Linked DNA regions of Arabidopsis thaliana. The protein of the gene in region 1 interacts with the protein of each later gene in a pairwise test. Each region holds a gene or a part of one and is shown on either strand. Other genes may lie near its edges.

What was found.
Region 2: the proteins of CBL5 (region 1) and CIPK9 interact in a two-hybrid assay, tested with the Arabidopsis thaliana proteins (one study listed by BioGRID).
Region 3: the proteins of CBL5 (region 1) and SIP1 interact in a two-hybrid assay, tested with the Arabidopsis thaliana proteins (one study listed by BioGRID).

The regions. Positions count from the first base shown.
Region 1 is NC_003075.7:577,358-586,852, forward strand, and holds CBL5 (calcineurin B-like protein 5), read right to left. Parts: upstream 4,165-9,495; 5' UTR 4,162-4,164; coding exon 4,086-4,161; intron 3,963-4,085; coding exon 3,880-3,962; intron 3,733-3,879; coding exon 3,673-3,732; intron 3,600-3,672; coding exon 3,491-3,599; intron 3,363-3,490; coding exon 3,310-3,362; intron 3,223-3,309; coding exon 3,142-3,222; intron 3,057-3,141; coding exon 2,944-3,056; coding exon of another isoform or gene 2,940-2,943; exon of another isoform or gene 2,718-2,939; coding exon 2,681-2,717; downstream 1-2,680. Other genes in the region: AT4G01410 (Late embryogenesis abundant (LEA) hydroxyproline-rich glycoprotein family), read left to right, coding at 951-1,634; UMAMIT29 (nodulin MtN21 /EamA-like transporter family protein), read left to right, coding at 8,350-8,531, 8,801-8,863, 9,036-9,152, 9,230-9,495. UniProt on the Arabidopsis thaliana protein: Acts as a calcium sensor. CBL proteins interact with CIPK serine-threonine protein kinases. Binding of a CBL protein to the regulatory NAF domain of a CIPK protein lead to the activation of the kinase in a calcium-dependent manner.
Region 2 is NC_003070.9:60,185-71,588, reverse strand, and holds CIPK9 (CBL-interacting protein kinase 9), read left to right. Parts: upstream 1-3,963; 5' UTR 3,964-4,076; coding exon 4,077-4,265; intron 4,266-4,691; coding exon 4,692-4,754; intron 4,755-4,839; coding exon 4,840-4,911; intron 4,912-5,031; coding exon 5,032-5,139; intron 5,140-5,246; coding exon 5,247-5,327; intron 5,328-5,428; coding exon 5,429-5,482; intron 5,483-5,724; coding exon 5,725-5,850; coding exon of another isoform or gene 5,851-5,856; intron 5,857-5,936; coding exon 5,937-6,026; intron 6,027-6,132; coding exon 6,133-6,258; intron 6,259-6,371; coding exon 6,372-6,479; intron 6,480-6,571; coding exon 6,572-6,688; intron 6,689-6,781; coding exon 6,782-6,838; intron 6,839-6,932; coding exon 6,933-7,019; intron 7,020-7,113; coding exon 7,114-7,191; 3' UTR 7,192-7,422; downstream 7,423-11,404. Other genes in the region: AT1G01150 (Homeodomain-like protein with RING/FYVE/PHD-type zinc finger domain-containing protein), read left to right, coding at 1-548, 621-749, 1,304-1,474; AT1G01130 (CBL-interacting Serine/Threonine-kinase), read left to right, coding at 7,778-8,032, 9,465-9,539, 9,640-9,684. UniProt on the Arabidopsis thaliana protein: CIPK serine-threonine protein kinases interact with CBL proteins. Binding of a CBL protein to the regulatory NAF domain of CIPK protein lead to the activation of the kinase in a calcium-dependent manner. Involved in K(+) homeostasis under low-K(+) stress.
Region 3 is NC_003076.8:23,592,744-23,603,374, reverse strand, and holds SIP1 (SOS3-interacting protein 1), read left to right. Parts: upstream 1-4,021; 5' UTR 4,022-4,322; intron 4,323-4,640; 5' UTR 4,641-4,843; coding exon 4,844-6,283; 3' UTR 6,284-6,413; downstream 6,414-10,631. Other genes in the region: AT5G58390 (Peroxidase superfamily protein), read left to right, coding at 2,131-2,328, 2,427-2,618, 3,060-3,620; AT5G58375 (Methyltransferase-related protein), read right to left, coding at 6,670-6,771, 6,851-7,006; AT5G58370 (P-loop containing nucleoside triphosphate hydrolases superfamily protein), read right to left, coding at 7,730-7,813, 7,917-7,952, 8,061-8,148, 8,228-8,337, 8,448-8,552, 8,629-8,720, 8,873-8,960, 9,058-9,177 and 2 more. UniProt on the Arabidopsis thaliana protein: CIPK serine-threonine protein kinases interact with CBL proteins. Binding of a CBL protein to the regulatory NAF domain of CIPK protein lead to the activation of the kinase in a calcium-dependent manner.

The DNA.
Region 1 (9,495 bases):
TGGGCTTATAATTGAGGCCCAGGTAGCATCCACAGCATTGTCGGTGACTACAGTGTCGGTGGTGCGGTATCTCAGTTAGTGTGATTAAATAACAGATTCTTCTTAAATGTGATTATTATTTATTTTGGAAGCTTACTAATAATATATGGAATTTGGTCAGAAGTATTGTTGGAGATGTGGACATAAAAGACTTGTACTTTTATTTTCTAAACATTAGAACAAATATGACACATGTGGTATCTAATTAATTTATTATTAATTGCTTTATACAGTTGATAAAGAATTGTGAAATATGATAATTTAATTTTCTTTCTACATAACCGTATTCTGGCATGCAAACAGATATTAGGTTATTGCTAACTTTGACAGGCCGTAACCTGATAAATTTCATTCTAATTTTTTTAAAAATTAACACGGCCAAAAAGTGATAGTTATCACGTTGCACGAAACCATAGTTGTCACCAAATAAGTCAATCATTGACAACAAAGTATTTGATTATGTATAGCCATATGTATACACGTTACATTGGATTTTTCATTTTTAAAAAATTCATCACTCATCAGATCCGTCACGTGAACGGTTGCACCGAGATTTGGAGTCTTTCGAAAGTACTTCTCTATCTTATATTATTACATTAAGTATTATAACAAAATAAAATCACAATGTAAAAACAGTAGTAATTTACGGCTACTTTATAAAAAGATTAGCTTTAACACATAATTACAACTACAAGCTTTCTAAGTTAATAAACAATTAATAAAACTGTACTCTAGAAGACTGTTTACTCTTATTAACTAGAAAAGAGACAAAACCTTGCATCTACTTATCTTCTTTCTTCTCCTCCTCCTTCTTTAGAGTCTTCACTCTTCACCGAACCCTCTGATTCTCGTATAGACACACACATACCTATACATACACACTTTAACACTTATATCTGTAGAGTATAGCCATGGGAGAAGGAGAAGCAAAAGCAGAGCACGCAGCCAAAGCAGATCACAAGAACGCTCCCTCCGCTTCTTCAACGCCAGAATCTTACTCTAAAGAAGGCGGAGGAGGCGGTGGAGATGCTCGCCGCGCAATCTGCGGCGCGATCTTCACCATCCTTGTCATACTAGGTATCATAGCCTTAATCCTTTGGCTCGTCTACCGTCCACATAAACCACGTCTCACCGTCGTCGGAGCCGCCATCTACGACCTGAATTTCACAGCGCCGCCGTTAATCTCAACCTCCGTTCAGTTCAGCGTTTTAGCAAGAAACCCTAACCGGAGAGTCTCCATTCACTACGACAAGCTCTCTATGTACGTAACGTACAAAGATCAGATCATAACACCGCCGCTTCCACTACCACCGCTTCGTTTAGGACATAAATCTACGGTTGTGATAGCTCCGGTGATGGGAGGCAACGGTATACCAGTCTCGCCGGAAGTAGCTAATGGTTTAAAAAATGATGAAGCTTACGGCGTCGTTTTGATGAGAGTGGTGATTTTTGGGAGGCTACGTTGGAAAGCTGGTGCGATTAAGACTGGACGGTATGGATTTTACGCCAGATGTGATGTGTGGTTGAGATTTAATCCATCTTCTAACGGACAAGTTCCTCTTCTCGCTCCTTCAACTTGTAAAGTTGATGTCTAGTCTTAATTTTACTTCGTTATGTTTTCTTTTTTAATCTTTGTGTTTTAGAATTGTAATCTTTTTTTTTTGTGGTCATGTTAGTGATGAGTTTCGTCGAGTCTAGTGTTAAAATAAATTAAAAGGCATAAGCCAAAAATTATAAGTACAAGTATATTACTAATTTTATATTTTACTTGTGATAATTATTTTGTTTCTCTGTTGTTGGACCTGTGGATGTTAATTAATGACATTTGACAATACAAATGTGTTGTCGCTAATAGCGTATCTTGGCATATGGTGAGTTCATCGACACAACAGCTCAGAGTGTTTGATCAGACATATGGCATCTTCAGGCAAATCTCATTTTGGTTTTATCATATATATATTTTTCCCCCATTATTACGGAACTATTTCCTCACGATTATAATTAAATACTTAGAATATTACTATGCTTTTCTGTTTTCCGATTCAATGATATTGTTTTTTTGTAAATCTGAATCGGACGTTAGGAGTCTTCTGAATATAAGTTACATTTTTTGAATGAAGCATCCGTTTAAAACGAGTGACTAAAATGATCGTGACTCCACAAGTCATCGCGTCAAATGTAAAATTTTCATGTGAAACAGTGAAAGCGTCAAATCTAAATAATATTGTGGATGATTGTTGTGAATTTGATTAGTTGACCTGATTCAAAAATTTGATTGGTATATCATGTCAATTTTTTCTCTTTGGTTTTGGCAACTTATATCATGTCCAATTTCTTTTTGTGTTACCATTTTTCTCGAATTTTCACACGTTTGTTCTTTTTCTTTTTCCTCTTTTCCTTTTCCAAAACCCCATTTTGTCTTCACGAACCGATCTTTGCTTTTAAGTTTTCATATCACAGCTTTAGCTTTGTGGTTAAAAACAATTACTTTCTATCCTCGTTAAATATTAAAGATTTCTTTCGATAGTTAATATGTTTATATAATAATTAACCTTCTATATTTCTTATAACAAATTACCTATGTGATTTTCGGATAAAAATATTTTTAAACAAAAACCTCTAGCAAACACCTCATCTGATTTTACCGGAGAAAGGTTGGGAAAATCCTCGGAATGTCCCTGTACAATAAAAGTTAATTTTAGAATAATTATCTCGATTTATAAAACAAGAAAAATAAAATAAAAGAAGATAATAGTAATATATGCATAAACACACATATATAAAAGCTGTTTTTGAAAGATGTATATATATTACTTTTTTTGTAAAACGAAAGATGTATCTAAAACATGCAATTTATCAGCGAATATTAAGAAAATGGTTAGGAAAAACAAACAAACGAATTACTTCAAGAAAGGGATAGTCATGTTCTTTAGTGTCAAAGGATAGGTGGCAACAAAATTCTCCCATTCTTCCAAATCTATTATCCCATCTTTTTTCCAATCGGCCTCTTCAAATGTCTTTGCCAAATATAAGTAAACAAAAATAGTAAGTAAAATCACTATAATGTTAAATCAAGCTCATAAACTTAAGCGTTATACACACCTTAGACACGATAGAATCAATGATACTCTCGGATAGCATAAGTTCTGATTCCTCTAGAACGTCTATTATCATCTCTTTCACCTATAGATTTCTCCAAGTCGAGGAAAACCGTCAAATATAATTAATCATGACTTTTTCTTTTTTTTGAGACAAAGTTTACATACGTACCTCCTCCGGTTCAATGAATCCAGTCTCACGAGTATCGTATAATCTAAATGCAACTGTTTAATTTTAAACAAGTGATCAGATGTATTTGTGGTTATAGTTAATAACATTGATCTCTAGCTATATAGAAAATAATAATAACATGGAATAAATGAATAAACACATTAGAAGTGATGAAGCATACATATGGCCTTATCTCTTGGTGATGAGTTTGGGTGAAAAATGTTGAGTGTGTGTACAAACTCTCCAAAATCTATAGCCCCATCGTTTCTCATATCGAATAATCCAAAAATCTGCATATTTCAGAGAAACAACATCAATCGAAGTTTATTTATTTATTTCGCTTAATATAACAAATTCAATTACCCGTTCTGCAGAAAGACTGCGCTTTTTGGTATTCTTGATCAAGATAAATTGAAATTTTTCCTGGAAAAGCCAACCAAATTTGACATGACAAAAGCACAACTTTTCTATAACTAGCTAGTATAAAATTTAGATGTTATATTATTCACATTTTGTTGACCAAAAAAAAATTATTCACATTGTGGAAGAAAAATTAGTTTGGACTCTAACTTTGGTCAAAAGATTGTCGTTGCTAAGACAAGAAGTGAGTTTGATGAACAATCCATGCAAAACTTCAACCTCAGCCTCGCTAACTGCAAACCCAAAACAATTTAGATGTTATCTGATCTACAAGCTCGTGTAATAATATTCTTTCTCCATGCAATATAATATATAGGAGGAGGAAGTGGTGGATGATTGAAGTAGACGTAACTTACAAAAGGTTTGAGAAGCAAGAAGCGAAATGTCTTCTTGCCTTCTTCCTTCTAATTGCTTGCTGCAAACACATCCCATTTTACTATATCAATATATATTTCAAATTCCACATACATTTAAGTGTGTCTATATATATAGGCATCAACGTAGGTGCAAGAAATTGTGGAATATAAATCTATTTCTAACCGAACAAATTCGAAAGTGGAAGGGTTTGTACATTGCCGGCTTAGGAAGCTGGAGACAAATGGTATAATTTATATCGGAATTTGATACTAGTTCTTTTTCTATGAAACTTCATTTTCTTTCCTGAGTTCTTTAAACATATTCTTTTTCTATGGTTTATATTTTCTTGTTGATTCAAATTTTTTTCTTGTTACTTGATACTCAAAGCGGGATGTCCATGTCCATTAGCTCAGTCCAATAATATCCATTTCGATATTGGACAAATAGTGTCTATGTCCACTAAGGTCCATGTCCATTAACGTTCATGCTCATTAAAGCTCATGTCCAACTGGGCTGTCCAATGAGCATAACATAACCAAATTTTAACACAATAGTATTTGCTTCATATTTCAACCAAATTATCAAATCCAAAAGCAAATTTAAACAACAAAGTATTAAATAATTTAAGTATTAAATCCAAAAGCAAATTTAAACACAATTCAAGTATTTAACAAAGTATCAAATCCAAAAACAAATTAAAAGCAAATTTAAACTTCTTCTTCTTCTCTCTCGCCATCTTTGTCTTTATTAAGGAACTCAATATTATCACCTAAGTACTACAGAAAAGAAGAACTCAATATGCATTAAGATTCAAATTGATTGAAATATGACAAAAGAAAAGAAGTCAAAAGCTTACCAATCTCTTCAAAGTTGCATAGCCAATTCCTCGCACATATCAAAGCTTGAACTGTAGAAGGAAGAAGACAACTCCGATACTTGTTTAAAACCCGACTTCCTATGCTGAATGAAGACTCTGAAGCTACAGTTGTAATGGATGAAACACGCCCACGGGCCGCCCGTCCATTTTGAGAGCTCTATTGTTTTATAAAAATGGATGAAACTTTAGTAGTATAATAGTATCTCTCAATGTTATTGACTAACCCAATAAATTTATATACAAAGATATAACAATAAATATTTACTTTCTTTTCAATCGATCTCGTTAACTCTATGATATCCTAAAATTATTTCAGTTATTGACCAATCATATAGAACCAGAACCAAAAAAAGTTGATTACTGGTATTATATTCTTTTACAAAAAAAAAACGTTACGATAGCAAACAAATGTTATATGATAATTCAGATTGTATCTCAGTCTACAAGTATTTTGTAGCGAGAATGCAAAATCTGAATTCTGTTTTAAAAGTGAAATTCTTAAGGAACTTTTTTAGGAAGAACACATCAAATCACCAACTAACGATGTGAGCATGCCAATTATCACGACTGTGCATTCAGGATCTTGATTGATTAACGTTTCTTGCCTTTATTTTTAACAAGTTTCCCTTGCAGACCTTGTTAAATGTTTTGTATTCATATTTTCTTTTATTCTCGAAAGCATTAATCACATACATATACCACAAAGAAAAGCTACATGAAAAGTAACTAAAATTGAATTCAAGATACTTAGGGAAATGTTTGTGTTAGGGATTAAGCGAAAATGTGTTTATTCGTCTAGTCATTCTAATTTTTGTACTTGCACCGTGTATACATGTTATTGAACAAAAAAGCTGGACAAGGCCCACAACTTTATTTGTTGGGTTAATATGTAAACTTATATGGTCTTTGGTATAAGTCGATACCTTCGCATTAATATGTAAACTTATATGGTCTTTGGTATAAGTCGATACCTTCGCATTTTCATCACTTGAAGGTGTGATTTAGTCATAAAAGCTTAACCTTGATTTGCAGAAAAGTGATCACATACACTTGAATCTAGCGACAAGTAAACGAACAACTTTTGGTCACGGTCGCTGATTTATGTCGCTATCGACATGTAAACAAACAGGACCAAAGTCATGACATCACCATTTGTCGTTAATTTTGTTTGTTCCTCTTTTTTTTATTATTTTTTTTTTGAATATCTGACAGTTCAAGTTCGAATGTCCTATATTTTTTAGAGATGAGATCTACATGAAGTTAAATTCATGTCATTTAGAGAAAAAATCCCTTCCAACAGGCGTCGAACCCATCAGCTCTATCTCAAAGATTTACTACTGGACCAATACCACGTTGGTTTTGCTTCTTCCTCTTCTCGTGAGATTCTTCTACTTCAATGCTTCTGATTCTTCTATGTTCTTAATCTTTCAACAAATACAGTAGTACCTTTAGGATCTGCCCAGAAGGCTGCGGTATCTTTGATCTCCCTTACCAGGCCCCAATCTTCTCAAATCCCATAGCAGTAAAACAATTAAGAATCGTTGGACTTAGGCTTATCTCAGAGATTTTAATGTAATGGGTTATAGATTACGACCGGCTTTAGATTCCGAGGCATGGCCGACAGTTTAGATTCGTAATGATTTAGATATAGTGCAGCCATTGTGCTTGAGCTACGTACATACGTCCATGTCAACGATCCACTAGCTAGTCTTCTAATTAAATTATTTGTTTTTCTTTAGTATTACTTTTATTTTGTTGGTCACTGAGTCATTAGACTATTTTGTATTAGTCACAGTAATGACACACTTCTCTTTGATCTTTGGGCAAAACCCTACTAAGAAAATTACTAGGGTTAAAACTAGATATGGTGTATGAAAGCATTTTTTACTTTCACCGATTTCTCCAAATTCAGGTATTGTTAATTTTAGTGTAGTGTTCATAGAAATATTTTTTCTCATAAGAAATGAAACCGATTTAGAGTAAAAAGTAATTAAGCATATCAAACAACTTCTAACAGACGCAGAATTTAAAATATAGCATTTTTGCGATTCCTAGTTCCGTTTTTTTTTCACTTTTTCTAACAGGTTAGTTGGATCTTCACGTTTGCGTGTTGCAAACTAAAATTTGACTATCCTGTTCAGGACAAAATTTGTCTCTTATATCTAGTAGAATGTCACTTGTAAAACTTCAATATCGTCGCGAGCATATTAGCTAATAGATCTTTGTAGAGTTGTTATTTTTTGCCCTTTTTTGTTTCGCTAAAATCAATGTATGAGTTGTTGTGCGTTGTATATATATGCATGTCCTTGTCAATACATGACAAATAAATTGGACATTCATCATTTATACTTTTTTTTCCAACAGATTCATACGTATTATATTTGTGTAACTTTTGTATAGTTTGGTCTAGTTGTAGACACGTCGGTATCAATTAACTCATTAAAACAACATATGAATATGAAAAAGAAAAAAAAATATAAACTTGTCGTAGTAGAATTTTCAACCTTTATAGATATCTTTTGATCACATTTTTAATATCTCTTTCCATGTAAAATAAAAGTTCGACTTAAACCAAACAAAGAAAAAATGAAGCTTGACAAGCAATATATAACATGGTATTTTAAGATGGTTTACAAAAAAAAAAAAAATTAACATATTTTAGAGTAAATTATTTGGTGTTCTAAAAAAAGAGAGAGTAAATTCTTATGTAATAAAATAACTCGTGAATGGGACATATATATTATAATGATATATAACAGAATTTGTCTGTTAAATTATGGTTTAGTTTCATAAATTAAGGCATATGAAATTATGGTTTAGTTTCACAAATAATTAAGAGACACTATATATTGTATTAAGTTTTTATATAAGTTTCTCTTTTTTACAAGGTTCATTTTTTTCATAATGGCATTTGGTTCAATTTTCGCTTTAAAATGTTATTTTATATATATATCTATATCTATATATATATATATACAGAAAAACTTTGATAAACCAACTTTTATTCAAATTTATCTTTTTTTTTCTGATGGAAAGTATAACTTACTCACCTTTTTAGTTTCTTATTTAAACTACTAAATTTAAATCCGGATTTAAAGATTCCTTTGAAAATGATCTACCACCAGTAAATTAAAATATATTCGACATAATTTTAACACTAGTGATAAAAATTTACTACATATGTTGATATTATACTTAGGTTAAAAAAAAGAAAGATATCCTATGTGGCAACCACCTACAAACTTTATTATAAATATAAGTAGATGGCAAGGCGTGTGGTTGCCAAACACAAAGAAAAACATTCGACATTACAGAAAAGAAAAAACTATAAGAAAATCTTAATTAATAAAATAATATATTCAGGAGGGCGAGAGAGAGAGAGAGGGATGATGAAGGAAGAACAATGGGCACCAGTGATAGTAATGTTAATATCAAGTGTTGCAATGGGATCAGTGAACGCTCTCGTTAAGAAAGCACTTGATGTTGGTGTTAACCATATGATCTTTGGTGCTTATAGAATGGCTATTTCTGCTCTAATCTTGGTTCCGTTTTCTTATATTTGGGAGAGGTATGAACATTCTGATTCTTATTCGTCAAAACTCAGATTTTGAAACTATCTTTACATACATTTTGCTAGTTAATGAAGTTCTCTGGTTATGTTCTCGTATTTTTATAGGGAATATATATATATGATTCAATTTTCAGACGTCGAAATTTCAACTACGTACCTATAAAGTTGTAGTATTATTGGTGTATTCTCTCATGTATGTATGTATATAAGTTTTCATTATATATATCTAAGTAATGAAGTTTGCTCTTTAAATGAGTTTATTATAGGAAAACAAGGCCACAACTAACGTTCATGCTTTTGTGCGAACATTTCATCAGCGGATTACTTGGGTTTGTCCTTTTCACTTGTTCCTGTTATATACTCTATTACGCAATTTCGCCTTTTTCTTCTAAATGATTTTATTTACTTTTAAGAAAGGAGAAACTGTCACGTTATCTCCTATTAATCACAAGCTTTACTTTGTTTCGTTTTTTATGTTAGTTTTTTTTTTAAATCACGCAGGGCAAGTTTGATGCAATTTTTCTTTTTACTTGGGCTTTCGTACACGTCAGCAACTGTTTCGATGGCTCTAGTTAGCATGTTACCTGCTATCACCTTTGCGTTAGCCCTTATTTTCCGGTAATGCAACTAATTTAATTAGTAACATATATATATACATCAAAATTTTCTCGTTTTTTTTATAAATACTTTTGCAGGATAGAGAATGCGCAAAACCTAAAGAGCAAAGCAGGCGTGCTCAAAGTAATGGGAACCCTAATTTGCATAATGGGAGCAATGTTGTTGACATTTTACAAAGGCCCAGAGTTATCAAACCCTCATTCTCATCCACAAGCTCGTCACAACAACAACAATAACAATGGTCACGACCAAACAAAGAAATGGCTTCTAGGCTGTCTTTATTTAGTCATTGGGACAGTGTTGTTGTCTCTATGGATGTTGTTTCAAGGGAAATTAAGCTTTA
Region 2 (11,404 bases), on another chromosome or scaffold:
TTAAGAAGCGCCACTACCTTGGGACAAGTGACACTTTCAGAAGCTTTGAGCCGTTGAACGAACACGCATGTATTGTATGCGATATTGCAGACGATGGTGTAGTACCTTGTTCTGGGAATGAATGCCCTCTCGCTGTTCACAGGAAGTGTGTTGAGCTTGATTGTGAAGATCCTGCAACCTTTTACTGTCCCTATTGTTGGTTTAAGGAGCAAGCTACTAGATCCACGGCTTTGAGAACAAGGGGTGTTGCAGCTGCGAAGACCCTTGTTCAATATGGATGTAGTGAGCTGAGGAGTGGAGATATAGTCATGACGAGAGAAAACAGTCAACTAGAGAATGGTTCTGATAATTCACTACCAATGCAACTACATGAGAACCTTCATCAATTACAAGAACTGGTCAAGCACCTTAAGGCTCGAAATTCCCAGTTAGACGAGTCAACAGATCAATTCATTGATATGGAGAAATCTTGCGGAGAAGCTTATGCTGTTGTTAATGATCAGCCAAAAAGGGTACTATGGACAGTCAACGAAGAGAAGATGTTGAGGGTAAAACCACCACACTTTTTTCTTGAAATACACTTTTAGCTTAAACTTATAGTATATGTTTATTTTGGATAGGAGGGAGTGGAGAAATTTTCTGATACAATCAACAAAAACATGCCTTGGAAGAAGATTTTGGAGATGGGAAAAGGTATATTCCACACAACTCGTAATTCCTCCGATCTTAAGGACAAATGGAGAAATATGGTGCGTATGTGATTCCTTTCACCATAAAATCCTTAGAAGTATTAAATGACGCATTTGATATCAAAAACATTAAGACAAATCCTAGTGACCTTTTGAATTGGCAGTATAGTAGTGTGACGACTTTGATGTTAGTCCTTCCTTGTAATCGCAGTTTCGGATTCCTCCGTGTAGATCTTTTGGTAACAGTAGTCCTTATAGATGATGTTCGCTTTGTATCCCTTATGTTGATATTAAGAGAAGATAACGTGTCTTTTGTAGTAGCCGTCCCACTCTGTTAGTCTTTTGTTTTGTACCCTTCTTTAAACAAAACAGAGGATTGAGAAAAAGAGAATCATATGGGAATTATGGATATAATTTTGAAGAACTTAAAAATAGGTTAATCTTTTAAGACTATGGGGAGATAACTTGTCGCACAAGTACCAAATGTTTCGGAAACAAAGGTGAAAAAATCTACAAACTTAACAATAAAACCACAAGTCTTCCATTTGTACGGAGGTTAATAATAATTAATACCAAATAAACGACAACACTTGAAGTAGTCAAAACTTTTATAGAATTATCTTGATTTGGTTGAGGTCGAGATTGACATCATCATCGTCGTCGCAGAGATCGGAGATCAAAATGGAGAGGGAAAGAAACGCAGGAGTGATGAAGAAGATGAGTCCAACAGGAACCATCCAAAGATTAGAATTTGTGGGATGGTATTTGTAAAGCCAATAACTTAGAAACAATCCTCCACATATATTCACAATCATCGAATACAAGAACACCATTGACGACGTACTCTTCTTCTCCTTCCTTGTCCTCTTCTTCATATTCGTGTTCATGCTGCTTTCGTGGTTCATTTGCAAGAGGATCTAAACAAGTTATGATTCGCCTTTTTATTAATTAATTTACTGGGAGTTAGGTGAAGTGAAAGAAAAGATGGATGACAATAATAGATTCTATATTGTTAGAGTGTATGAGTAAGTAAGTATATATGCAGTCGGGTTCCGGTTCGTGTAGGTCGGTTTAGAAAGTATATTTCAATTAAACTCGGTTTTTAGTCGTTTTTCTAACGAAATGTGTTTGGTTTTTAGAGATTATTTATGAGCAAAACTGAGTTTGTGTTTGGGTTTTAGATAGGGTACCTAAAACTCGATTAAACATTTAGACCAGTTTCCAGCTGGTCCGACTCCGATTTAGGTTGGTCAATGTATGAAAGGCAAATCTAAACATAAGACACATTTTATGTTATGTATTACTAAATTACTACAAAAAAAACTCCTACAACTCCAAAATACACAATGGTTTAGATTTAGATATACATGTTTTTAGAACTAAAATTATTGAGGTATTTTATAATAGTACTCCAAGTTATAATTTCTGTTACGAGGCGAGAATAAACGTGGGAGAGGAAGGAAAAAAAGGTGCCGTGCGGTGCAACTAGATTTTACATATTTGTACACATATTTCACGATTGAATCTTTCAAGACATTATATGCTTTATCAAATTTTATATATATAACAATTAGATAAGAAACACAATCTGACCCGACTCTACTATTTATAATTATACGTATGAATCTCTAACTTCGTTACTAAAACGGCAAATACTAAACCCTGAAAGGAAACTGTGTGAGAAACAGTTAGGCCCCTTGACCATCTTTGTTCAACGTTGTCAACGAAAAAAAAATGGAACCATAAAGGATAATTAATTGTATCACAAAAAGACAAACACAAATTATTGAATATACCATCACTTATCAGTATATAATTTTATACAAATGCTTTAAATAACAAATATTATGTAGAAAAAGAGAAAAGAAACTTAACTTGGTCAATTTGATCATTTGTGTAAACGATGATGCGGAACATATGCGATAATAATGTTATTGGATGGCAAAAAAAAAAAAAAGTATTTTAGTTGGGCCCTAATGTTAATTCACAATCAAGCCTAAATTTGGTTAATGGGCCAATCTTTCTTATATATGTAGGACTCGGATGTTCGGTCTACTCGAACTATCTACAAACCAAGCTAAACCGAAAGTAAATACAAAATCAAACCAAATAATAGTTTGGTTTATATAGGTTTTAAATTTTAATCCATATAATCCAATAAGTTCCAACTCATAACCAGGAAAATAAAAAAAATGTGGAATGAAGAAGTTCAAATTGATAACCAAATGAATTGCTTTCATATGATGGTGACGTGATGTTTTTGTACCGGACTCAATTATTGGAACGAGTGGTTCATTGTGCATTATTTGCATTTTCTTTTGTTCGTAATATACTAACATATCTAAAAAATTATTGTATCATTATTACTAGTCATGCAATAAATCATCAACTCACACTGTCTGCCACACTTTTTTAATTTTTCTGCGTATTTTGGCATTATCATATGAAAGAAAATAAGAGAAACAAATAAAGGAAAGAAGAAAAATAAAAACATTATCACATTCTGTGAAATCTCTGAGTTTATCAGGAAGGATATGTGGGGTTCATATTCATACCGTTCCCTTTACTCACATCGTCACATGGAAAGATCAACTATTTCAATTATCTATTTATTTATTATCATATACTTTAAATAATCAAATTTAGAACCGTTACAAACAAAAATAAACAGCTACATCAAATTTAAACAAAAGTAAGTATATGCGAATATTATCATAGATTTAAACAAAATTTGACCAAGATATAACAATCATCATTTAACTACCAACATTTGATATATGTATTTATTGTTCTTAGGTAGTTTCCAACTTCTAACTAAAGACAAAAAAAAAAGTTATATTTAGAGAATATTTCTACATGAAAAGAATACAACTATATCAAATAATATGATAACAGTCAACTTTGAACATCAGTAGAATGGAATGAATCACTGAAAGATATACTCATATACACATAAAGATTAAGGACATCAAATCACATCCCTTACAAATAAAACCATATCCACATAAATTTAAAACCCCAAAATTTTCATAAAATCCATATACTTAAACAGGAGTTTCTGTATATAGTTACCACACAAGAACAAAATTATGGAATTTTTTTATATGAATGAAGAATGAACGTTACGAACGTACACAAGTACAAATAACACGGGACTGACGCGGAACAGAGCAAAATAATGATTTTTGACATTACGTGGCATACGGGACCCACAATACGCGCGTGACTCCCAGTCGCGCCTATTAAATCTCTCGCTCGTCCACTTTCTCTCGTCAGCCTTAAAACCAGGCAGCCACTAGAAGAAGGAGAGATATTGAGGGAGAAGAATCACATTGATAGATTCGCCGCCGATCTAGAGCCGTTGATTTTCTTAATCGGAAAAAGAAAATGAGTGGAAGCAGAAGGAAGGCGACGCCGGCGAGTAGGACGCGAGTAGGGAATTACGAGATGGGACGAACTCTCGGAGAAGGAAGCTTCGCTAAGGTGAAATACGCCAAGAACACCGTCACCGGAGATCAAGCCGCTATCAAAATCCTCGACCGAGAAAAGGTCTTCCGTCACAAAATGGTCGAACAGGTTCGTTAATTGTGTTTGGTTTGATCACGTAAAATGATTATGGATTTGTTTGTTTTTAAGTACTATAAAGAACAGTTTAATTTCGTGATTAGGGACCCACATGTCCTCCTAGGTTGGTGTTCGGTTATTAAGGTTAATGTTTGATTAAAGTGTTAACAATAATATTTTAAAATATCGAATTTTGTATGAATGTTTTTGTTTCTGTATATATCTACACGATGCTGATCTTAGTACGCATTGATCAAGATAACTATTAACTATGATATGGATATGGTTTTGAAGTTCGAGTAGCTTTGTTTTTGATTTGGTTCGATTTGAATCTGTTGAAGATTTAGTTTTGTATGCTATATATGTATGATTGGAAGTTATGAGCAAGATCTCGAAGATATAATGATCATAAAGTTTTATTTTTTTGTTGTTGTGCAGCTTAAAAGAGAAATATCTACAATGAAACTGATTAAACATCCAAATGTGGTTGAAATCATTGAGGTACGAAACTAATTAGTTATCATTCCTTAGATATTTTTTAAATTAAGTTTTGAATCTTAGCGTGTAAAACATCTCTCTGTGGTAGGTTATGGCGAGCAAAACGAAGATCTATATCGTTCTTGAGCTTGTCAATGGAGGTGAACTCTTTGATAAAATCGTAAGTAACCTAACTTAGAGAATCTTCCTCTCTTTTCTCTTCACAAATATTGACATATGTTCTCTGTCTTTCTCTCTTCTTACTCTTATGTTAATTCTTGGATTTAAATCATATACATAGGCGCAACAAGGGAGGCTTAAGGAGGATGAAGCTCGGAGATATTTTCAGCAGCTCATCAATGCTGTGGATTACTGCCACAGTCGAGGTGTCTACCACAGAGATCTCAAGGTCTTTCTTTTGTTTTTGTGCACTCTTCTTGTTTCCTGTGATTACGATATTCATTCTTCTTAGTTCTTATTCAAGTTTCTTTTGTTATCATCTGTTCCTTGTTGCAGCCTGAAAATCTGATCCTTGACGCAAATGGGGTTTTGAAAGTCTCTGATTTTGGGTTAAGCGCCTTCTCACGACAAGTTCGGGTAATGCCATTATATTTTTCACTTGGCAATTAATTTCTGATATATATAACCAAGATATCAATTTGAATGAAGTGTTCTAAGCATTGTTCTTTTGAATGCAGGAAGATGGTTTGCTTCATACAGCTTGTGGAACGCCAAACTACGTTGCCCCTGAGGTATTATGTACTAACTTTCAGCACTTAAAAAGGCAAAGAATATGAAATGTTCTGTAGATCCTCTTTGGAAAATAAGATTTTAAGGAATTCAAGAACTGCTAATACGTTTTTAAAAAGGAAGGAAATCTAACAAATGCTATACGTATATATAGACTTCATTTGCAGAATCTTCTTTATTTATGATGTATATAAGAGATATGCCTTTAATGTTGTCTACTGCATTGTGTTGGATTTGCTGGCAGGTTTTGTCGGACAAAGGCTATGACGGTGCAGCAGCAGATGTCTGGTCTTGTGGTGTCATTCTCTTTGTGCTTATGGCTGGTTACTTGCCTTTTGATGAGCCGAATCTCATGACATTATACAAACGTGTACGTGTAAATTATCTCTCCCTCTGCTTCTTGATCTTCTGCAGTACTTTTCTAGTCTCATCTTTGGTGTTTAATATATACTTTAGATATGCAAGGCTGAGTTTAGCTGCCCACCATGGTTCTCGCAAGGTGCCAAGAGAGTCATCAAGCGTATTCTCGAACCCAACCCTATTACCGTAAGTGCCTCTTACATGAAGTAATAGTTGTGAAAATGTGAACATGACATGCTGCCAACCATAGATTGTGCAAGAGCTTAAGTATGTACTTATTTCTGAAATGCAGAGAATAAGTATTGCAGAGTTGCTCGAAGATGAATGGTTCAAGAAAGGGTACAAGCCGCCATCATTTGACCAAGATGACGAGGACATAACCATAGATGATGTTGATGCTGCTTTTAGTAACTCCAAGGTAAACACCGCCATTTCCAAATTCTCCATCTGGTTGTGTATATCATAGTTCGGTTTAAGTAAACCAATGTATTGTTACCAACTAATATCACTCTTTTTGTGCTGCTACTCTAGGAATGTCTTGTAACTGAGAAGAAGGAGAAACCTGTATCCATGAACGCTTTCGAACTTATCTCTAGCTCAAGCGAGTTCAGTCTTGAAAACTTGTTCGAGAAGCAAGCGGTAAGAACTTTTTTCTACTTACAGTTTGTCTTGATTTTCTAAAATCATGCATAGGTTTTATCTAACTAAATCTGATTTGTTGTTGTTTGCAGCAACTTGTGAAGAAAGAAACGCGGTTTACTTCTCAACGATCTGCGAGTGAAATAATGTCGAAAATGGAAGAAACCGCAAAGCCATTAGGCTTTAATGTCCGTAAAGACAACTACAAGGTCTGTTCTTCTTCTTCTTCTTCTTCTTGATTTTGTTTGTGTCAACTAATGTCTTTGTAGCTTCGTTAAACATTGTTTAAGTAAACTTCGCAGATAAAAATGAAAGGAGACAAAAGTGGTCGTAAAGGTCAGCTCTCCGTAGCTACAGAGGTAAGAAAGAAAAAAATACTCCGGTTCAGTTCGGTTTTTGGATTTTGATGAATATCGTTATCTAATTGTTATGGTTTGGTAATCGGTTTAATAGGTGTTTGAAGTGGCGCCATCATTGCATGTGGTAGAGCTTAGGAAAACCGGTGGTGATACCCTCGAGTTTCACAAGGTATGTGATTCGGTTTGATCTTCATCAAAAACCGGTTCGGTTTTGATCCGGTTAACATCTCTAGTTTAGTGTTTAAATTGGTTTTATGTTTGAATCTCTTTTGCAGTTCTACAAAAACTTCTCATCTGGATTAAAGGATGTAGTCTGGAATACTGATGCAGCCGCTGAAGAACAAAAGCAATAAGAAATAACAAGTTGTTCAATTCAAAGTTTTTAATCAATGTTGAACATGTATAATGAATAGTAAACATTCTGGAGTTGGCAATATACAAGTATTGCTGACAAAAGAGCCAAACTAGAACTAGAAGTGGTCTATAGAGGTAGATCACCATAGGTTAGTCAATAGCCACATATGTGATCATCCTCAAACTCGGTTTGAAACCTATAAATCAAAGTTCAAACAATTCAATTAGGCAAAAAATACTCTGCAAGCTGGCTATTTGAGTATAGTTGAAAGTTGCAACGATGTTGTCGCTTTATGGCAACGCGTTACAATGACACAACATATATAACAATTTGGAAAACACAATGATAGAATTATTAAAGAGAGGTTATCTTAGCTACATAGATCTACGTTTGCAACCAAAAAAAAAAAGTTTTATTTTGATGTACAGTCACACATTGATGACGGAGTGGTTTCTAGTGAGGAGTTGGTGTTGAGCAGACCAACGTTAATTGCCCAATAAGTTGTGTGAGTTGTCTAATCTTTCAAATCAAACAGCCCGTAAAGCCCATAAAGTCGCAAATTTCGCATTCCAAAGTTTTTAAGAATGGAGAAACGTTCAGATTCAGAGAGTGTAGAGATTTTGGGTGATTGGGATTCACCTCCTCCGGAAGAAAGAATCGTAATGGTTTCTGTTCCCACTTCACCAGAATCTGATTACGCGAGATCGAATCAACCGAAAGAGATCGAATCTAGGGTTTCAGACAAGGAAACAGCGTCGGCATCCGGAGAAGTGGCTGCGAGGAGGGTGTTGCCGCCGTGGATGGATCCGTCGTATGAATGGGGTGGTGGCAAATGGAAAGTAGACGGAAGAAAGAACAAGAACAAGAAAGAGAAAGAGAAAGAGAAAGAAGAGATTATTCCTTTTAAAGAAATAATTGAAGCTCTCCTTGGAAACTCCGGTGACAAGGTTCAACAAGACAACAAGGTTAATCAAAGTCAGAGCTCTGTTGAGATGTTGAAATCAATGGGCTTTAAGTTTCCTTAATTTGTGGTAATCTTTTGGGGCTTTTCTTGGTTTTAGTTTTTTTGTTTTGTTGTTGCAGAAAGTAGTAGACTAGTAGTAGGTATGCTTTTTCCTCATTATTGAAATTCTGTTTTAATCTGATAATGAAACTAAGAAATCCAAGATTTGCAAGATAAACTTTTGAACGTGAATATATGTCACTAGTGTTTTGGCCAACTCACGGCTTAAATCTCTGAGTAAGATTCTTCGGAGAGAAAAAAAAAAAAAGAATTTTGTAGGTTTAGTGTGAGATATTGTTGGATACAGTAAAAGCTATTGACGTTAGTTTTCGTTTAAGCTGTTTTTTTTTTGTTATGACTTATGATACAACTACAAATTTGAGTCCATACTAGTGTTATATGATAGCGTGTTTTGTTAATATCCTCGATAAAAATGTTATCTGAAAATACAATGTGAGAACGGAACCATTCTTCTTAGAATTATTTCTAAATTTAAGCAAAATAAAGTAATACAGTATTTCTGAAATGCAGAGTATAAGTATTGCAGAGTTACTAGAAGATGAATGGCTTCAATATCAGTAAACACATGTTGTGTTTCTACACTTTCTCTCTATCTCTGTCTTTGTTTCACTCTGTTTTGTTTTTGTTTAGAGACAAACACAAGAACTCGTTTTTACTCTTTAATAAAAGACTACATTCATGATATTGATGATTTCTTACAACACAACACATACATGTACTACTTCTCCTAGTTCTAGGCACTCTTACACAACCCTCCTACTTGTATTGGAACTCTAACAACAACTACTCTAACCTAGACTTGACTTACTTAAACAACACTTTACTTATATGGGACTAACATAGCAATTAGCCCAATTACTTATTACAAGACAACAAGCCCAATATCTTCTTTGACTTGCTCTTCTCATCTTTGCTATGATCTTCTTCTCACTGAAACTTTTCTTCTTATAGAAATTTAATCAAGGATTCATGATTTCAACAAGACAACTACAAGGTTTGTTCTTCTTCTTCTTCTTCTTCTTCTTGATTTCTCTGTGTCAATTAATGTTGTTGTGTCTTTGTTAAACATTGTTTAAGTAAATTTCGCAGACAAAAGTGGTCGTAACTCGTAAAGGTCAGCACTCTGTAGCTACAGAGTTATGAACAAAAACAGATAGGAATGATAACATTCCGGTTTAGTACGGTTTTAGATTTTCATGAATACGGCCGGTACCTGATTATTTTGGTTTGGTTATCGGTTATAATAGGTGTTTGAAGTGGCACCATCGTTGCACGTGGTAGAGCTTAGGAAAACCGGCGATGATACCCTCGAGTTTCACAAGGTATATTTTCGGTTTAATCTTTACCAACCGGTTCAGTTACCTCTAATTTTATTTGTTGTAATTCGGTTTTCTATGCTTAAAAGTTAAATCTCTTTTGCAGTTCTACAAAAACATCTGGATTGGAGGATGTAGTCTGGAATACTGATGCAGCCGTTGAAGAACAAAAGCAAAAAAAAAAAAAAATAGCAAGTTGTTCAATTCAAAGTTTTTAACTAAAGTTGAATGTATAATGAATAGCAAAAAATGCTGGAGTTGGCAAAATAGAACTATTCTTTACAAAAAGCCAAACCTAGAAGTTGCTACAGATTTAGATCCATATGTTAGCCAATAGCCATATGCGATCATCCTCAAAACTCGGGTTGGCTTACTTTGAGTTAGTCAGACCTATGAGTCAAAGTTCAAACAATTCAATTAGTCAAAAATACTCGGGAAGTTCGATATTTGAGTATAGTTGAATACAAAGTTGTCACTTTATGGCTACGGTTGGCAAAGCGTTACAGTGACACAATATCGACAACAATTTGGAAACACACAATGATAGAATAATAGAGAGAAGCAAAAAAGTTATGTTAGCTATAAATCTACGAACCAAGTATATTCTGAGTATAAAGTTTTGTTTTGTTATAAATGGGATTGGTTAATAATTTGCCAATCAAGTAGTGATTTTACTACAAAATACATAATGCTGGATATATAGCCAAGAATATGGATATAGATGGTCCATGTCTACGACAAAACTAGCAATGAAATTGTGGCGGATAAAAAGACTTGATCATTTGTCGCTATTATGTTGCTATTTGTTAATCCATAGATTTATTCAAAACAAATGACTACGATTTGGCAACAGAAACAATTGACAGAATTTATTTATCTGGTGATATGATGATATTGACATTTTCAATATCGAATTCGTAGTTGGATTCGGATTAATCGTGACCAAATATTTATAATTCCATATATTAGCATTAATCTTTCTTATTCGAGATTAAGAAAAAATTCGAGTAATTAAAAAAAAAAATTGTTTGAAAAACCATTAAAATCAATAATATTGTATTATATACAGTTATATACTGAAATTCAAATACAAGACCACGACAAAATGTTTACTCTAATGTTTCAATTTAATGAATCATTCGGTATTTTGAAGCATGTTAGAGCCTGGTAGTACTGTGCATGTTATACAGCCAATATCAACCTTTTTCGCTAGTTTTATGTAAGGCTATATCGTTTATTTATGTAGCAACCATTTAAATTGTTAGTCCTTTTTAAAATTATTGCAAGATGTGAGTGTGTACATTCATACATTGATGACGGACTGGTTTCTAGTTAGTTGGTATTAAGCCGACCAACATTAATTGTTGGTTTATGTCTACACATGGGTACTAGTCTACCATTTATTATCATCATTATTTCATTTATCTTGCAAATTAATACTTTGATCTGTTTATTGATTAATTCTCTCTATTGTTCATTATGCTGTACATAAACCTAAATATATGAATTATTAGCATCTGATGAACTGGATCTTTCCAATATTGAAGTTTGAGAGTTGGTATGCGTACTGTTGAAACATGTGTTTCATGCAGTAATCACGATATTATGGAAACGACGTCGCTGCCTTTTGTCTTTGTTTTCTTTTTCTCTATTATTTCCCAGTAATCACGATATTAGAAATGATTTAACTATTAAAAGCATTACATTTTACCAACAACTTTATCCCAATGAAAACAAAACAGGGACAATAAGTCCACTTTGGGACCTCAAATCCGAACATTTTATTTACCTACAAAGCTACAAGCTACAACTACCCGTCCGAGGTCTATTTTGGACACCTTGGCACAATCAATATGAAATAACTAGAAAAA
Region 3 (10,631 bases), on another chromosome or scaffold:
ATTAACAAACTCGATCGATCAACTAACAGAATTAAAACAAACACTCCAGCAAAAGTTAATAATCAAACAAAAGTGGACCTCGATTAATCTCAAACAAAAACCCTTCACGTAAATTAAATACTATATATATATATATATATATATATATATATATATATATATATGCGTGGTTCAACTTTTCAACAATCCACGTGAGATAATTTTATCTTTTTTGTTTGTTCTTATACATTTGATTGAAGTAATTGGGAGAGAGCTAGAATGCAAATTGTAAGTGATAGACAACTCCACCTAGTAATAGTTCGTTTGTTAACCTCTCACCATCAGTTTTTTTTTTTTTTCCTTTCATGTTAAAAGAAATCTACTTTTATTTCCCCAACCTTTGAAAATTCAACTTTTTACTTTTTGCAAGACAAACGCACTGTTTTTCCTCTGTGACTTAATAAAAAATTCGAGGTGTTTATCTTGAATTTGAGTTGTAGGACGTAGATAATTGATTTTGTCACGAGTATATATGATCAACGATGATATTATTCGTTTTTAGTGGCCTAGTTTCTCATCTGATAAACTTTTCAAACAACATGTCATATAGTTGTTGCGCCATAATCAGTAATTCTTTCTCTATCGGTGGGTGTGGGAACCACAAACGGATCAAACTTATAAGTTATATTAATTAGAGTCTGAACGAAAAAAATCGCGTAGGTTATATATTATTTCCATTCTCTAACGGTTAATTTAGTGGCGGCCGGTGTTAGACATGTTTTTGTTTTCTAGGGTTGGCAAGTACAATAACAATACATGTTCTGGAGTGAAGTGAAGTAGTTGTCAAATAGAATTTTAGTTTTGAACAAATTAATCCTTGATACTTTTTTATGTAACTATTAATTATATGATATAAATAATGAAAGGTGATCAAGGGCTGGGAATGTCGTGGTTGCATGCATGGAACTTGGAAGGTCAGCTGCTTCTGCCAAACTTATTCCCCGCTCCCCCAGTGATATGACCTATCTGCCCTCACATTCTTTCAATCAGATCCTCTATGTCCACAATTATTGTATCAAACAAAACTGTTGCCAGATGGAAAACCGAGATTGATCGAGCAGAATCACTAACCGAGATATATCAATCAACGTTGTAGAAAGTCCTAGCAGACATTGTAGATGTAGGTAGTTTTGAATATATTGGTTATATTTCTAGCTAATGAATGCATTTTGTAACTTCATATTTACAAGAGTTCAATACAATTATTCCACAAGTCCTTTCGTATTCTTAGTCTCATCAACTTATCAATATATCATATCCTTAACACATGCTCATGATGAATTTGGTTTTACCCAAAAACCGGTCTAGTTAATCTGATCCGAAATTAATTTGATCCATCCATCACCTTAAGAGAACACATATTAGAAATCCTACACTGAAAACAGAATGAGACCAAGGTAATTTATCAATGGATATGGATCAAACCCACTTACCAGCAATAGGTTTTGATAGGAAACCCTTCAAATTTAGCATGTAAAACTTTAGATCGAACCACTTTGGATTCAAATTAGATGGCACATATTCTACTACTTTAATATCATGTAAAGATTCATTTGCTTTCAAATCAAAACCAATGTGTGGATTGATTAGTTATTTTATTATCACAACTTTGAATTATAATTACTGTCATCTATCTATAACATAAACTAAAATAATAATGTACATTACTATATATGTTTATTATATAGTATATCGCAAATCTTGATATGGTTATGGATATATCAAGTTTAATAATGTATGCTCACCTTAAAACGTATATACTCCCGACGAATAATGAACATTAGAGTTTTAATTTGTATAATAAGATATGCTTGGTAGAAAACAAAAAAGGGAAATGTGCTGAAAAAAGGGAAATGTAAACATGCATGAATATGGTAAAGGTGGCGTAATTAAGGAGTAAGGACCCAGTAATATAGTGGATATTCGAGAAAAACTTTTCTACGTGAACAAAAATAACCTACGTGTAAGTTATCCTCTCTATAAAGCCCTCATCAAGTCTCTGAGTCCTTCAACGACTCATAACTCATAGCTATATCTTGTCTTAAAAAGAAGAAGCAAAGAGAATTAGTGGAGTACGATAAGCAGAGAAGTATGTTAAAGGTGGTGTTGTTGATGATGATAATGATGTTGGCGTCACAGTCCGAGGCTCAGCTGAACCGTGACTTTTACAAGGAAAGCTGTCCATCATTGTTCCTTGTCGTGAGACGAGTCGTGAAACGGGCCGTGGCCAGAGAGCCTCGCATGGGTGCTTCTCTCCTTCGTTTGTTCTTCCATGATTGTTTTGTCAATGTAAGGCACTTTTTTTCAATGCAAAAACGAAGCATGCTTTGTATGTTCCCATGAATTACTCCTAAAACTTAGTAAATGCTAAGCATATGATTTGATAGGGGTGTGACGGATCCTTACTGTTGGATGACACACCGTCTTTTTTGGGAGAGAAAACCTCAGGACCCAGCAATAACTCTGTGAGGGGGTTCGAAGTGATCGACAAAATCAAGTTTAAGGTTGAGAAAATGTGCCCGGGCATCGTCTCATGCGCAGACATTCTAGCCATCACTGCTCGGGACTCCGTTCTCCTCGTTAGCACCTCTACCCTTTTACTCTTTGTCATGTCTTACATAGATGCATGTAATAATTGTTGAATGGTTAAGTGGCTTAGTGATTCGGATTCATTTATTTTACCTAGCTAGAACCAGAGTTCGAATCTTCTAGTAATTAATCAATTGTCCCTTTTCAAAACTTAAAAAGAAGGGTAAAATTGTAGTGCAACTTGCATCTTTTTCCTTCTGATTTTCTTGTAAATCATTGATTTTCTAAATCATTCTCACATACATCTAGCCAAAATAGCATAAATCTACCATTACTTTACGAATTCCTAACAAGATACTTTTACATTTTGGTCGATTTTACAGCATATGAACACGGACCAATTTTTGTTTTTTGTTTTTCCCTTTGTTACAAACCCTTCAGCCGACCAACATTTATCTAAATGTTTAACACTTCTTAATATGACTAAACAGCTAGGTGGACCGGGGTGGAGCGTGAAACTTGGAAGAAGAGACTCTACGACGGCGAACTTCGCGGCCGCGAACTCCGGAGTCATCCCTCCTCCGATCACTACCCTTAGCAACCTCATAAACCGTTTCAAAGCACAAGGTTTGTCCACACGTGACATGGTCGCCCTCTCTGGTGCTCACACCATTGGACGAGCCCAATGTGTTACATTCAGAAACCGAATCTACAACGCAAGCAATATCGACACCTCTTTCGCCATCTCTAAACGGAGGAACTGTCCTGCCACCAGTGGCTCCGGAGACAACAAGAAAGCCAATCTTGACGTCCGCTCTCCCGATAGGTTCGACCACGGCTTCTACAAGCAACTTCTGAGCAAAAAAGGTTTGCTTACGTCAGACCAAGTCCTCTTTAATAATGGTCCTACCGACTCGCTCGTCATAGCTTACAGCCACAATCTCAATGCCTTCTACCGCGACTTTGCAAGGGCAATGATTAAGATGGGAGACATCAGCCCCCTCACCGGATCCAATGGTCAGATCCGCCAAAACTGTCGGAGGCCCAACTGAATGATTCTCTTTTATATTATCCCAAGCCCATTGAGCTCAATAATCACCTCTTCGTCAACTGTTTTTTCATGTGCATTCCCCTTCTTCGTCAACTGTTAAAATACATCTTCATTATATAAAAAACAATAAACACGTAAAAGTTTGTGACTATGCAGTTTTCCATTATAAATTACTGTCTATATTCTCTTCTTATTTTTTTTTTTTTTTTTTTCTCTTCTTACTTTGGCTGATTGAAAGAAATAAAACTTTTAAATTTAGTTGAGTAGATGATTTGTTATAAACTCTATGCTACGATTTTTCAAATATTAGTAGATAAAATATCATTAAAAAAAAAAATGGTGAGCAAACTATCATAAAAATATATGATGGCAAAATGTGAGCCGTCGGATGAAAAGTGAATAGGCGAATGAGAGGACAAGTGTAAAAAGTCATAAGGTAGACAAGGACACAGAGGAACAAGTGGCCTCTGCTCTTCTGCCTCAATTAAAAAATTATTTTTATTTTTGATGTGCGTGGACCGCCAATGACGTTTAACTTCGTTTTCATCTCTTCTTCTTCTTCTTCTTCCGTCTTCTCCTCCATTTTTGTTGGTAAACCCAGAAAGAAATAAGGAAGAGAAGGGGCCTTTAGGGGCGGATAGAGAGATCTACACGTCTTTCTACTAGATCTCGGATTCATTCCCAGAATCCTCTTTCCTCACCGGTGATTGTCTTGATCATATATGTTTTGTTTTCTCCTTGCGAATTGTTGATTACATGTTGAAATTTAGGGTTCTCTGATTGCCGATCTATGCTTTTTCTCTTTAATATAGAGGTAATGCGGTAATGGGGGAGAATTATATAACCTGAATGATCGGTTCTGGTTTAGGGCTTTAGTGGTTTGAGAATTTGTGTGTGTGTTTTGATTGATGATTGCGTTTTGACTCGTGATCGATACATATAATTGAGTTTAGATTTGATCGATACACTGATTGTTGTTGGAAGTAGATCTCATTGCTTTGTTTTTTTTTTTACTTGACAGGCTCAATTCTACCAAGTTTCTAAGAGGTTTATTCATATTCGGCATAGAAACTCAGAAATGGTGGAGGATGTGTCCTCCTATCACTAGGGGATTAGCTGCACGAGCTCATGAGGTTATGACTCATGAGCTACCTCCAACTCTGAGCTATCTCTGGATCAAGTAGTTTTTTTTTTTTTGGAGCCTGTTATAAGTTTGTAGATTAGATGGAAAATAAGCCAAGTGTTTTGACTGATAAATATGATGTTGGGAGGTTATTGGGTCAAGGTACTTTTGCCAAGGTGTATTATGGAAGGAGTATTCTTACTAACCAGAGTGTTGCTATCAAGATGATCGATAAGGAAAAGGTTATGAAAGTTGGGCTTATCGAACAGATCAAGAGAGAGATCTCTGTTATGAGGATTGCTAGACACCCTAACGTTGTGGAGCTATATGAGGTCATGGCAACAAAAACGAGGATCTACTTTGTTATGGAGTATTGTAAAGGTGGAGAGCTTTTCAACAAGGTTGCCAAAGGGAAATTGAGAGATGATGTTGCTTGGAAATACTTTTATCAGCTTATCAACGCAGTTGATTTTTGCCACAGCCGAGAGGTGTATCATCGTGACATAAAGCCGGAGAACCTATTGCTAGATGATAATGAGAATCTCAAGGTATCTGATTTCGGGTTAAGCGCCCTTGCTGACTGCAAGAGACAAGATGGCCTCCTCCACACTACTTGTGGTACACCTGCATATGTTGCTCCAGAAGTGATCAATCGAAAAGGCTATGATGGCACAAAAGCAGATATTTGGTCTTGTGGTGTGGTTTTGTTTGTCCTATTGGCAGGCTATCTACCTTTCCATGACTCCAATCTGATGGAGATGTACAGGAAGATAGGAAAAGCAGATTTTAAGGCACCAAGCTGGTTTGCTCCAGAAGTACGGAGGCTGTTGTGTAAGATGCTAGACCCTAACCCTGAAACTAGAATCACCATCGCAAGAATCAGGGAGAGTTCTTGGTTCAGAAAAGGTTTACATATGAAACAGAAAAAGATGGAGAAACGAGTCAAAGAGATAAACTCTGTGGAAGCTGGTACTGCAGGTACAAATGAGAACGGAGCAGGTCCAAGTGAGAATGGAGCAGGTCCAAGTGAAAACGGAGACAGGGTCACGGAGGAAAACCATACAGACGAACCTACAAATTTGAACGCTTTTGATTTAATTGCCTTGTCTGCTGGGTTTGATCTGGCAGGACTGTTTGGAGATGATAACAAGAGAGAATCTAGATTCACATCACAGAAACCTGCTTCAGTGATCATATCTAAGCTGGAGGAAGTAGCACAGCGATTGAAACTGAGCATAAGAAAGCGAGAAGCAGGTTTGTTCAAATTGGAACGATTAAAAGAAGGAAGAAAAGGGATTCTGTCGATGGATGCAGAAATATTTCAAGTGACGCCAAACTTTCATTTAGTGGAAGTGAAGAAATCAAATGGAGATACTCTCGAGTATCAGAAATTAGTAGCAGAGGATCTTAGACCTGCTCTGTCAGATATTGTATGGGTTTGGCAGGGTGAGAAAGATGAGCTTACTTCACAGCAAGAGACAGAATACCAACAACAACAACAACAAGAACAACAAGAACAGGAAGAACCATTGAAGTTTTGAAATTTGTTCTTGTCAAGTTTTTGGAATTTTGCTTAACACTGAATCACTGATGTTAATCGTATATGAGTTTCTTACATTTTTAATTTGTGGAAAAAAGGAATCCATCATAATATAAAGAAGTCGTTTAAAGAAATTCTCAATGGCAAGACTTTTGAATTGAGAACTTCAATTGCTTACTCTACAGCATTACAGGAAGAACAAGAATCTAAGCCATATCCTCCACTCTCTTTGAAACTGGGATAAAGGCTTCGACTTTATTGAGATTTAGTAGTGAAGACAAGATCTATAGTATATAGTACAGAGACAATATGTAAATTTGGTGCCGTCGATTGCAGTTCAATTAAACAGTTACAGACAATAGAGAGACAGATAGAGAGTAACAAAACTCAAGAAGAGCGTTTGGCATTTGAACAGAGATTGTTCCAGAGATAGCGACCACTTGCCATGTCAACGCATGTCCAAAATCCAGACTTCATTGCCATTCCCACCTGAGCCCATAAAATCAGAAAAACCCATTAATCCCCAAATTACAGAGAGAGAATGAAGATCGGAGGAAAAAGAAGAAACCTTGGAGAATCCAGAGACTGAATCGTCGTCGGCGTGTTCAGCGTCGGTGAAGGAATCATCGAGAGGATCGTCAGAGGTAGAGTTGAGCTTCTGGAGGACGAAGAAGCCAGCGAGAGTCGCTGAAAGGAATATGAGGATAAGCCTTAACGGACACATCTGCTTCTTCTTCTCTTTTCTTGATTTGCTTTTTCCAGTTTTTGATGAAGACAATCAGGAAAGAGAGAGATAGAGGAGCTGATGAAGAAGAAGAGAGAGAGATGAGGAGGGAAAAAAAAGGGTAAATAACAAAAAAAAAAAAAAAAAAAAAAAGGTAAAGAAGAGAAAAATTCAAAGGGTGGAGTTGTTGAAGAAGTGTCAAATTAGGTAGGCCATTCCCTAAAGTCACCTCGAATTTTCAATTTCATATACCTAATAACCTTATATGTCCTATTTTATATTTGAAGTTCACTTTTTTTTTTCTTTCTTTCTGGTTAACAAATTATATTCTGACAGAATAATTTGGCCTACTATAATTTTTTGTTGACTAAAATAAAAAATAAAAAAGTTAGTGGTTTGGGCAAACCTAATCTGTCAGAACGTGAGAAAAACATTTTATGCTCATTTGCTCAAGTGATGGCTTTGACAAATAAAAAGATAATAAACAAACAAAAACATAAGTGATTGTTGACAGTTTTCACTAACTTAGTCGGATCATCATCGTCACACCATTCTTCTTTATCTCAACATTTTGACTTCTTCCTTATCCTTTATTTTGCCATAAAGAAAAGACGAGCCAAATAATTCTTTATAAGAATCTGAATCTTGATTGATCATTATTACATACTATGGAAAGGGGTAAGAGACAATCCTGACCTTGGTTTTGAGGATTGCTTTGAGAACCTAAAACTTTGCAAACCTAGCAATTTTAGCAAGGGCAGTTCTTAAACTTCCTATACCTGCTCCTGATCTTGAGCTCACCATCATCTGCAATCATTTAACGTTAACCACTTGCTTCTTAGGTTTCATCTTTTACTGCAGCCACAGAGGGAAGTAAACAACAAACTAGGTGAATCATATTCATACATACCAGAGGCTGGACAATTGATCTGTTTGCCTTCAACTTCTGCATTTTTTAAAGAAAAATAATTGTTGACATTAGTAAGAACATGACCAACATATTATTTTTATACATTGCCTTCACTATATTCATTTAGAGTATAATGAGTAAGACCTCTTCGATTTGCATTGCTCGACGTGCCACATCAATTGGGAAAACCACATCCGTCTTGGTTAAGACTATCTGATACTTTGTATTCGATCTGCAATTCAGTTTACGGCTTTAAGGAAACTTCATTACATGACCTAAAAAAAAATTAAGAGCAGTATCAATTATTTTACCTCTCCATCAGATTAATCAGTTCCTGGTCTCTTGGCTTCATACCCCATTTGGTGTCAACAAGGAGGCATACCCGTTTAAGACTGGTTCTTGTCGAGACATATTCCTTTACCTGCATTGATCAAAGTTAAACAGATGGGGAACATTAACCTGTTTAGTAATACACGAAACTGGGCAAGCAATTTAGACATAATCATTCTCTAGCCAGGGGTAGATGCTCACAAGATCTTCCCATGCTTCCTTAACTTCATCTTTTGCAAAGGCAAAGCCGTAGCCTGGCAAATCAACAAGGCGAACCTTCGGACCAAGACCAAAGAAATTGATGGTCTGCACTTCATAAACCCTTTGTTATTACAAAAACATGTACGCCATACAAGCAAGTAGTTCTCAGACAGGGGAATACCTGGGTCAGTCCTGGTTTGTCAGATGTTCTTACAACACCCCACTGTCTGGTAAGAGCATTTAGCAGAGACGATTTGCCAACATTTGACCTTCCTGATCAGAGTTAAGACACCAAATATCCCAACTTTTTAATATAGTTTAGTGTTATTAAAGTAGTTTAACATGCATATTCTAAAACTCAGAAAAAGTTTTTTTTTGTTGATATTTCTATAATCCTGGTGGGAACAACATATTGAACGCAGTACCTGCAAATGCAATCTCAGGTACATCAGGAGGTGGAAATGAAGATGAAACATTTGCAGCAGCAAAGAATTCCAATTTATTCCTAAATACCTGCAAATGGGCAATTGCAACATTAGCTCAATAGTCTAGCAGAGAAGGCTTATTATCTTGAGGTATTAGAGAAAAGGAATGAAGAATAAGAACATACACTTTCTTCTATACGTTCTCTCTCTGTGCTGGTTGACTGAGGAATATTATCTAATGGAGCAGGAAGCTCTGTGTTATAGCCGGCCCTCTTTAGCTCAATTAAACGTCTACGCCCCAACAGCTGTCGTAAAATGTATGTTATCAGCCATCTAATGAAAATATCACGTAAGACACCATAAGAGAGATAGTCATATAAATTACATTTTCTTCCACATAGGAGAGGATCGAATGACTAGGCTGAATTGCACGAAACTGTGCATTTTTCGACATTTCTACACTTTTAACTGCATCTTTTATGTTCTTTACTCTAAGGCCATCTGAAAAAAGGAAAAGAAACAGCAAATTAGTAAAGCAGCAATGAGATGTAGCAAGTAAAACAGTTTCACAACACAAAGAACTAACCATCAAGAAGGACATCATCAACAATTCTTTTATTTGAGGTATCATAAGGATCAAGTCGTATCCTCTTTCTCTTCCTTGGTTTATCCTCCTGAACATCTGAACCATCTCCCACAACTCTCTTCTCTGAAAACACCTGTTTTCTAGCCTTAAAAGACGGCACATCAGAACTTTCCCTGGGACTCACATCTACATTACTATCCAATTCATCTCTCTTCCTGTAGCTCTTTCGAGTAACATCAACCCCACTCCGTGACTTTGTTTTAAACACACTAGTTGCAGCATCATTAGCGGTCTTAAAACTAGAAGTAGACCCTTGGTTTCTCTTTGAAGCAACCCACATCGTGCGAGGGATTTCATTCACATGGTTATTATGCTTAGCCTTATTGGGGTAGACCCTCTTCTTCTTCATAGACGAAACCGTAGTCTTCCGAGAGTTAGTGTCATCATCACTGCGTTGAGTAATGGATCTACTCTTTCCTTTATAAGAAGAATTGGAGCTAAACGATGAAAGCTTCAGCCTTTTCTTGAGCTTAAGACCTAAAGAAGTATCTAAAGACATTCTGTGATAATCGTGCTGAAACAGAAGAAACAACTGTAGAACTCTACCAACTTAAATCACCACACAACAGCATCGATTCCGTTTAACACGAATAAATTTGGTTGAAGCAATGGCGAAAAAGTGAAACCTTTGAGGGGAAGCTTGGATAATTGGAAGAAATGGATACCAGGGTTTAGTTGCTGACGAAAACAGTCTTAAACCCAACAAGAAGCTCACAACAACAAAAAAACGTGAAAAGAAAAAAATGAGAGGCGGCGAGAGAATTAGGGTGGATGAAGAGGAGGGCACGTTTGTCTTTTCACCTTTCATATGTATTGGATTGGCTTCAATCTTTTGTAATAGCAGACGAACCACAAACACTTATTCCGGTTTAGGAAATTTTTAGTTCAAAAAATAAAAATGAAAAGTAATTTAAATAGATCAAATTTGAAAACTAATTCAAATAGATCAAATTTCAACTCATAAAAATGATATTAGATTCTTACAGACCACTTGCTTATAGTCAAAAACAAATGAGGTTTATCCTTCCAAGAAAATTGTAGCTTTTCGTCACACTGTATACCTGCTTGGTGTCTTTGCTTGCTTTTTTCAATTTCTGTTTCAATTGCAGCTAT